Neodiprion lecontei: one gene and its partner. Each later gene encodes a partner of the first gene's protein in a complex. Links are inferred from orthologs where the notes say so. Each region holds a gene or a part of one and is shown in the gene's direction. Other genes may lie near its edges.

What was found.
Region 2: the proteins of mitochondrial import inner membrane translocase subunit Tim10 (region 1) and mitochondrial import inner membrane translocase subunit Tim9 are in contact, whole or in part, in a crystal structure (PDB 2BSK), measured with the Homo sapiens proteins. The link is inferred for Neodiprion lecontei from reciprocal best matches to the Homo sapiens genes TIMM10 and TIMM9. Residues at the interface, in NP_036588.1 of Homo sapiens: Glu16, Met17, Asp20, Met21, Arg24, Ala28, Cys29, Lys32, Cys50, Arg53, Cys54, Ser56, Lys57, Tyr58, Asp60, Ile61, His62, Arg64, Met65, Gly66, Lys68, Leu69, Leu72; in NP_001291414.1 of Homo sapiens: Lys15, Leu18, Gly19, Tyr21, Asn22, Lys23, Thr25, Glu26, Cys28, Phe29, Leu30, Val33, Asp35, Phe36, Thr37, Thr38, Arg39, Glu40, Val41, Glu45, Thr46, Glu50, Leu53, Leu57.

What each region holds. Positions count from the first base shown.
Region 1 is NC_060266.1:25,977,835-25,981,539, reverse strand, and holds mitochondrial import inner membrane translocase subunit Tim10, read left to right. Parts: upstream 1-1,966; 5' UTR 1,967-2,124; exon of another isoform or gene 2,125-2,160; intron 2,161-2,391; 5' UTR 2,392-2,567; coding exon 2,568-2,861; 3' UTR 2,862-3,204; downstream 3,205-3,705. Other genes in the region: enhancer of mRNA-decapping protein 3, read right to left, coding at 85-230, 349-599, 685-842.
Region 2 is NC_060265.1:19,686,253-19,690,653, reverse strand, and holds mitochondrial import inner membrane translocase subunit Tim9, read left to right. Parts: upstream 1-1,740; 5' UTR 1,741-2,084; coding exon 2,085-2,126; intron 2,127-2,721; coding exon 2,722-2,952; 3' UTR 2,953-3,887; downstream 3,888-4,401. Other genes in the region: G patch domain-containing protein 2, read right to left, coding at 3,888-4,401. UniProt on the Homo sapiens protein: Mitochondrial intermembrane chaperone that participates in the import and insertion of multi-pass transmembrane proteins into the mitochondrial inner membrane.

The sequences.
Region 1 (3,705 bases):
AATTAATTGTTGTATAGCGCTGTAAGTGGTGTGGGAAAAGGTATGAAAAGTACAGACATCAGATTTATGAAATGCCATAATTACCTCCTTATTGAACAGTGCTAAATTTTTCTCAAAATCAAAGTCCTGCTCCATCGACTGATCTATGGGTGTTCCAAAGGCTTGTTCATCTTTCTCCTGCCATCTTTGTCGTTGCGAACTCCTTTTCTGGTTTTTTGTGCTTATCTCGCCTGGAAATAACAGTTCGGAATTGTAATTTTACTTAAGTATATCCCACAATCTTTTACACTACGATATATCAACTGACAAACGTTAAAATTTTACTACCGAAAGTGCAGGAAATCCTACCTAGATATATTTTTCCATTAGCAGCAGGCTCTGGGTGTGACTGCATAGAATCAAGCGGTTTCCGCGCATTAGATTGCTGTTGAATATCGGAATTAGGAAGTACCAAAGGTGGAATGCATTCAGAAACGGATCTACCAGCTCGTTTTGCAATGGGTCGCCTCACCGTGACTTTGCTCGAAGTCTGAACTTCATCACGGCAATCCTCAGCTTCCTCTGTTGAGATTATTTCTATATGAAGTATGTCCTTGGCACTATAAGGGAATAAAATTAGAATTAAATAATGTAAAAGATATTGTCGTTAACACCTAATCATCACCGATATGATCTAAAACTTACGACAGAACAACTTGCGGAGAGGGGTAAGGTACCCCGTTTCGAAAAGCCTTTGTCAAAGTGACGGTTTGGCCGTTAAGGTCGACAATTTGGCCTTGGTAAGTGCCAAGTGACTCATCGCACTTGACCGACACGGTACACCCTAGGAATTGCGTGGACATTGTATTGTTCTGAAATTGAAAAGGAAGATGAAGAGTGTTGCAGCAGTGTCTGTACGGGAAGTCAAGTAAATATCAGGTATGAAACTGTTTCAAAATGATTCAATGCTTGAAATACATTGAAAATACCATAACGGGTTTCGCAACCCCCTATGAGGAGCAAAAAACGAACTTTAGCAGACTTTGTATTCAACTGTAACCCGGTAAATGCTAATATAATATGTACGAACATCTATGCAGGGTGGATATACCTATTGATATATTATGCTTCGGACTAGAAATAGACGTTTTCGGCTTCCAAGTGCTGGAATACCCAGCCACCCTTTCGACCTGGAGAAGAAAACAATGGTTCTCTGCTTTTCTAGCGACAGGATATCCACCAATACGTAAGCAAAGTCTAGCCGCGCCGAGCTGATGTGATGTAGAGGTAGGTTAGAGCACGTTTATTACATTACCATTTATCCTCTCTTTGCATTTACCTTACGACTGAACTGCTCTACTGCACATCTTACGCGGTCCAGAGGACGCCACTCGACGGCTCGGCGCGTCGTATTTCATCGCACGGGGCACGATGCACGCCCTCCTTGCACATTCGTTGAATAGGATAGTTCGGATGAACGACATTGTCTCGCGTATCGCATACCGGGATGGGCGATCTTAGTAGAAAATAAACACCGGCATCGTGTTTGAATTCTTTATCATCGAACTAGCGATGTTCTTCTGAAAACATCGAAACATGGATTGTTAACACGTCGATGGTGAAAACAAGCGCGAATATTTTAAATGATTCTAGCTACAATGGTAAAAAGGAAAATGAACGCGAAAATTTTTAACTTTCATTATAATTAAAAATAAGTATTAAGTATGAGAATTCAATATAAATTAAATTAAGTATGCAAAAGTAAAATAATTAAATATACAGATTAATAGTGAAACATTTGGTAGAGAACACAGACTTATTATAAAACTTAGTAATGTGTGTTCCGTGTTTATAAATAAGTTACCGAGAATTGTTTGCTCACAAATTTAATTTATTCCCGACTTGACGACGTCGACAATTCAGTATTTTCCATCGACTATCGATGTATCGACGTTAAAAAACACCGATCAAAAACGTCGATGCTCCCGTAAAAAAACATCGATAGTCGAAACATCGATGTATATCCCCCATTCCTATCGCATGCGCTGCATGCATGCGCCATGCCAGCAGGGTGCTGTTTCATTCAGGGATCATCACGGATTCCGACATGGCCTTATCGAAGACGGCAAAAGTCGGCATTGGATGGTAGGTATGTAAATGGACGAATAAGTAACAGTGTAGGTACGTTGCATGCACTTTCGTAAAAGGCAGACAGAAATATGTGCCATTTGCAGAATCGCATCATATTTCATATCAAATTTTTTCAATCTTTGTATTGGATTATACAACATAACCCGTTTAGTACGCATGCATGTAAGCAGCTTTCTTTCGCGGCAGCTATCATTGGTGAACGATCATGTCATCTCCAATTTTCCTCGTGACAGACCATAAAATATAGTTTTTTTTTTCCAGGACATTCGCCGTATTTGGAGGGTTGTACGCTTTTGTCTTGTCCAAACGATCCATAGAACGGAATCGCTATGAAATGATGAAAGCGAGGGAACGTGTACGAAACTCCAACTTTGAATAGACTGACGGAAAAGTTTGTCGAGGCCTGAGCAAAGTTTAGTTTATTATATATTGTAAACATGGCTGGTCTACCGCAGCTTGACGAAGAGAAGCTCAAATTAGTCCAGGATCTAGAAATAGAGATGATGACGGACATGTACAATCGCATGACGTCTGCCTGCCATAGGAAATGCATTCCGCCAAAGTACTCTGAGGCAGAGCTCGGCAAGGGTGAATCAGTTTGCTTGGATCGATGCATCGCCAAGTACTTGGACGTCCACGAGAAAATCGGCAAGATGCTCACCCAGATGACTATGCAGGATGCGGACTCTTTACTAAAGCCGAAAGAAATAGAACAGACTAAAACGGGATGAAGTTAAATGACTTCTATATTGTTACCTAGTTAGTTGTTTAAATCCTAAGTAGTTTCCATAATAGTGTGACATATAAAATCAAAATATATTTATGATGTCAAGTCTATCTGTTTCGCTAGTTTAATTTTGAATTTTCTACAATTTCTACACCATAAGCAGGACTTTCTTCAAATTCTTCCAAGTCCGTGTACTATCATCTAGAAGAAACTATGCTTTGCTCTGCAACTTGTGTTTCTATCCGATTTAATAAATAAGAATTCAATTAATTATCCGTTACTGGATTATACTGTTAATTTGTATTTCTTTGACATTCAACTGCAATTAAACTTGATGATAAAATTAACGTGTCTGATTATGGTTTTTTAATGCTCGACATTGAAAGGTCACAACATTCTTGTTTCGTCGAGTATAATAATTTATGAGCCAAACAGGTGCAGTAACGTTTTGTGAACAGTATATTGATATATGTAACAACGTTGGGTACAGGTAGATGCATTATCCGAGGTACGGTTATCGCACGATTTGCTGTAATAAAAAATATTGTCTTTGGCGTGCAATCGCTCCTATCTTTACAGAAATCCGTGTAAAACATTCAGTCTTTCATGACGCATATTGATTAGGGTTTCACTCTGGGCAGTGTAGCTCCACGAGAGTAATAGATGCGGCAAAACAGTGAACAAGACAGTAAAAAATGTTTACCCCATAGCATAATTTTACCGTTTCATACTGACCCTGCCACTCGAATATCGTATGAAAATATTTAATACCGAGCAAATTGTCTCGGAGGAAACAAAGAATTGATTGTTGTAGCAAGAGGGCAAGTATCAGTACATACCGTGGTACG
Region 2 (4,401 bases), on another chromosome or scaffold:
GTTGGTTTCATTTCTTTACGGCATCTCACCAAAATGAATATAATTAAAGTCAAAAGTCTTATTTCATATTACTTAGTTAATATTTTTCGAATATAGAAATGGAGCCAATACTTTTATAATTTATTCAATAGAAATTAACAAAAAAAAAAATAACAGCAGGCATATTGACGCAATAACCTGTTAAATCTATTGATAATAAAGGCCAAATCAGGCCTATTTATAAATTTGATTAGAGTTCGAAGATGTTTGGAAGTGGAAATTCAGTATTATTGATTTTTTTTTTTTATTGATTTTCTGTAAACATAGTCAAAGATGAAATGAAATATTCTTTAACTACTAGCATGGATATAATTGAATTGATAATTGACTGTATATTTCTCAGGTTAATAAATATGTCGAAATTGGTGAATAAAATTTCGCATAAAATCTAATTAATTAGATTACTGTAAAATAATGCATGATACAGGTTAGTGTGATGATGTGCATACTAATTGACTTGTTTTAATGTCGAGGTTCATTCACTGCCATATTTGAGATGCATTAAAAAATAAATAAAATAAACGAAAAAAAAAACTTATCATCCGTTAATGTCATCACGTGACAGATATGAAAGTTTATAGATTAGCCTGTGAAATAAAGTGGCAGAGAAACAAAATCCATATATTTACCAAAGTGATCTTCAAGCAGCCGATGGTGGCTCTTATCCCACTGAAGAAAACACTGTACAAAACCTCGACATTTTCGGGTTTTAATATACAATTATCACCAATCAGCCAGAGTATTTGTTTGCGAGGGTGAACAACAGTCAATAAGAAACTACTAACTACGTCACAAATATAGGAGAAACCCATAAAGCTGAGGATATACTCGAGGGATCTCGCGTCAGGGTGTGTATACCCACAACCCACTGTTTATGCAATTCAATTTATATGTTTTATTGGCGTTCTGATTACAGAGTTACGTTTAAACCGGGGCGAACGAGGCCGGGACGCCTTCCCGTACGCGCCGCGCTCCGCATCGGCCCGGAAAACCTGTGAAATTTTCACATTAACACCAGAAAATAAATTATCACTCACGACAATAACCTAGCAGGCGCCATGTTTAATTTGATAGTCCCGTCCAGGAAGACTGGAGGGAAGCAGACCGAACTCTAATGCATTTGTGGCGTAAGCTGAACTCCAAAAAGTGTCGTCTAGAATAGTTCTAATTTTTACCACCGTGTTATGTTCGCTGCTGTACATGTTTTACGATCTATAGCATGGCTACACTGGCTGCACCACTCTACATAAGGCTTATTCCCGCGGAGGTAGCATCATCACTAATTTCTATGGTATAACCGGCATAACCACTGATACGTTGACTGAAGTTGTATCACCTGATCTCTATATTCTGCGTCGCGCAACTCAAGTCAGTAAACGGTACTATTCATAGGAAAGACAACAAGAACAACAATAACTAATGTTACCGTGCGCTCCATATACTTAGCCAGTGTGACTACTCGTCAGGCAATTCTGGAACACCTGGAAATGTCATGGAATTCTGAAATTCTCGAATAGTCTGCTATGATAAACAACCGAAAACTACCAACAAGAGGTTTTCTATTCGGGACATTGAATTTCAATGCAATTTACAGTTAATGAGGAGCTGCCGTAAGTTAAATCCGCCGGGATTGGACAAACTCCCGGAACTAGTGCCTAACTGAAGTCGATTTATTTTTATGCTATAAGGGGTGGGGGCAGTCCAAACCACGATTCATACCATACGAATAAACATTTGGAGGGGAGTACTTTTAACTAACTTCAGACATGGAAATGCAGTAAATTGAACCATCTCTGATCCTAACGTGCAAGAATACCGATTTTACACATAATTTGTATTTGCCAACTCTTTACATCAGCTGTAGAAATATTCTAAACCCAAAGATTGACTAGATAAATTCGGAGTTTCTTATTGACCAGTAAAATTCGCAACTTCCACGTATAACATTGCCACAGTTTTATTGGGACGTACTACTAATGAAATATCTTGTTGGATTTGCGAATCCTTACTTAACATTCTAGTCAATCAAAACTTGAATACTAAAAATGGAAATGCCGACTGAAGTTGATGCGGAGCAAATCAAGTCGGCAAGTATTCGTTTTATGTGTCAAAATACATGCGACTGAGTGAGGACCACTTCAATTCTGAACTTCTCAAGGGTCTCAAATTTGAATATCAAAAAGTATAAGAAAATCCTCTATGGGAACCGAATTCCATGTCAAGTCTTATATCTGTTATATTACGCTTTGATTTGTTATTACGGTAGACATCATCTGCAGTCATAATATTTTTAGGTTATCGTTTGTCCACGTTGCTAAGTTTTGAATTCACTAGCTTGTTTTAAAGGACTAATAATTCCTTAACAACTCTAACGTAACCCAAATATTCGAACGTATTCCCAAATTGAGTTCAAGAAAGTTGTCATTCTATGTAACACTTGTTCATATGAAGGCCAATCTAGATTATGTATAATAGAGTTACCAATATCTTGTACCGTTGAAGTAAAATTACGAATGTTGATCTATTACAACTTTCAGCAAAAGTAATTTAAACGTACTTTCGTCTTGTCCTACAGTCTGGTAAAAATTCGAAGTGTAACGATATAATTAATCGTTTAAATTTGACATAGTAAAATATTTAATAAAACATATTTATTATTGGAATAATTTTATAACTTTTCAGTTTAGAGACTTCTTGACATCATACAATAAGCTATCGGAAATCTGCTTCATTGACTGTATAACCGATTTTACAACACGAGAAGTGAGAACCAAAGAGGAGAAATGTGCGCTGAATTGTATGGAGAAATATATGAAGATGAATCAGAGGGTCTCCCAACGCTTTCAAGAATTTCAGATGATAGCCAATGAAAATGCAATGGCAGCAGCTAAAAAATTAGGTCAATTACGCTAATAATACTACATTTATTTTTGGTCATTTAGAATTTTATCAACAAGTGCTCCTCGTTCTATGTTATATGCTATTAGTATATCAAAAACGTCTTACTATATGAATAAACTAACGCATGAATTTTATAGAAGTAGTAGTGTATTTATTGTTATATTATGTTTTTAAACATAACTTCCACCATTGGCCCATCTTTCATGAACGAGTTTTCAAAAACCCTAATAGAAGATGATAATAATTAACATATACAGTATTCCAGACTGTACTGTAGGTAACAACTTAACACTATAGTTATAAATTATTATAATCATTATTTCAAGTGATATTCCAAAAATAAATGACCGGAGATCTACTTACACCTCAAAAAAAACTGATATACATCTTCGAGGAATTCTTGGGCATGTTTCATCAAGATCTGGTTTAGGCACAAAAATGTACAGAAGTATAGTTCATGAGACATGTAACTGTTGTTCTGGTAAACCTTAGTATATCAAATGCTTGTAAATAATATTTCTTTATGTAACTGTTCTTTACAGGCATTCTTACAAATGTTTTAAAATATAATTCAAACACAAGACAGGATTGTAAGTTTCTCTTTTTATACAACTAAATACCGGTGAAGCGAACGGAATTTTCTGATAGAATGAGAAAAATTACGAAATTCCGGAAAAAACTGCACAGAACGTCAGCAGATAATAGCGAAGTTTAATGAATTCACAAGAAGGGGACGGAAAAATAAAATCGGCTACATTTCTTTTCGCAATGTCATTGATTTTCGCCTTTGATTATATTCAACCATGCTATCAAGGTGCGATGGAGCTTGATTTAAGTTTGAATTATACTTACAAAAACTGGTTTATGACTGTAAAAATCGGCGTTTTCAGAGAATTGTCATTATGCAAGAACATATGTGTAGATTCGTAATAAAATCTCTATAACATTTAGCTAGATTTGGAGTGACCAAAGCTATGAAACTTTGGTTTTATTTGCAGGTCTGTACTTGGTATATCCCAGCCAAAGTTTACAGTTTGTGTCAGGCTCTCGACAGAGCCAATACCCTGTATTTGGTTTGTAATTTGTGTACCAAAATTCACACTTGAAATAGGTAGCTCATTCTCCTGCATTTCCGAATCAGGATTTGGCGAATTTGGTGGAGTCTTTCGTAGCCTTTTGTAATCGGATATTCTATTCAGAGAAACTTGATCGACGCAAATGGCTTGGGTCGTATGGCGAGTTTTGTATAAAATTGGACAACTCAAATCACCCTTCAAACTTAAGCTGTACAAATTGGCAAGCCTTCGTAGTTTTTCACGCTCAGGCTGTCGCATTGGATGCAGCTTTAGTTCACTTTGGCTAGGGTCCTGTAGAAACCTTGAAACTTTTTCGTTCGCCGAAGTTATTATAGAATAACCAGGCTTATTATCCACACGGCGTCGCCCAGCTCGAATTTCTCTG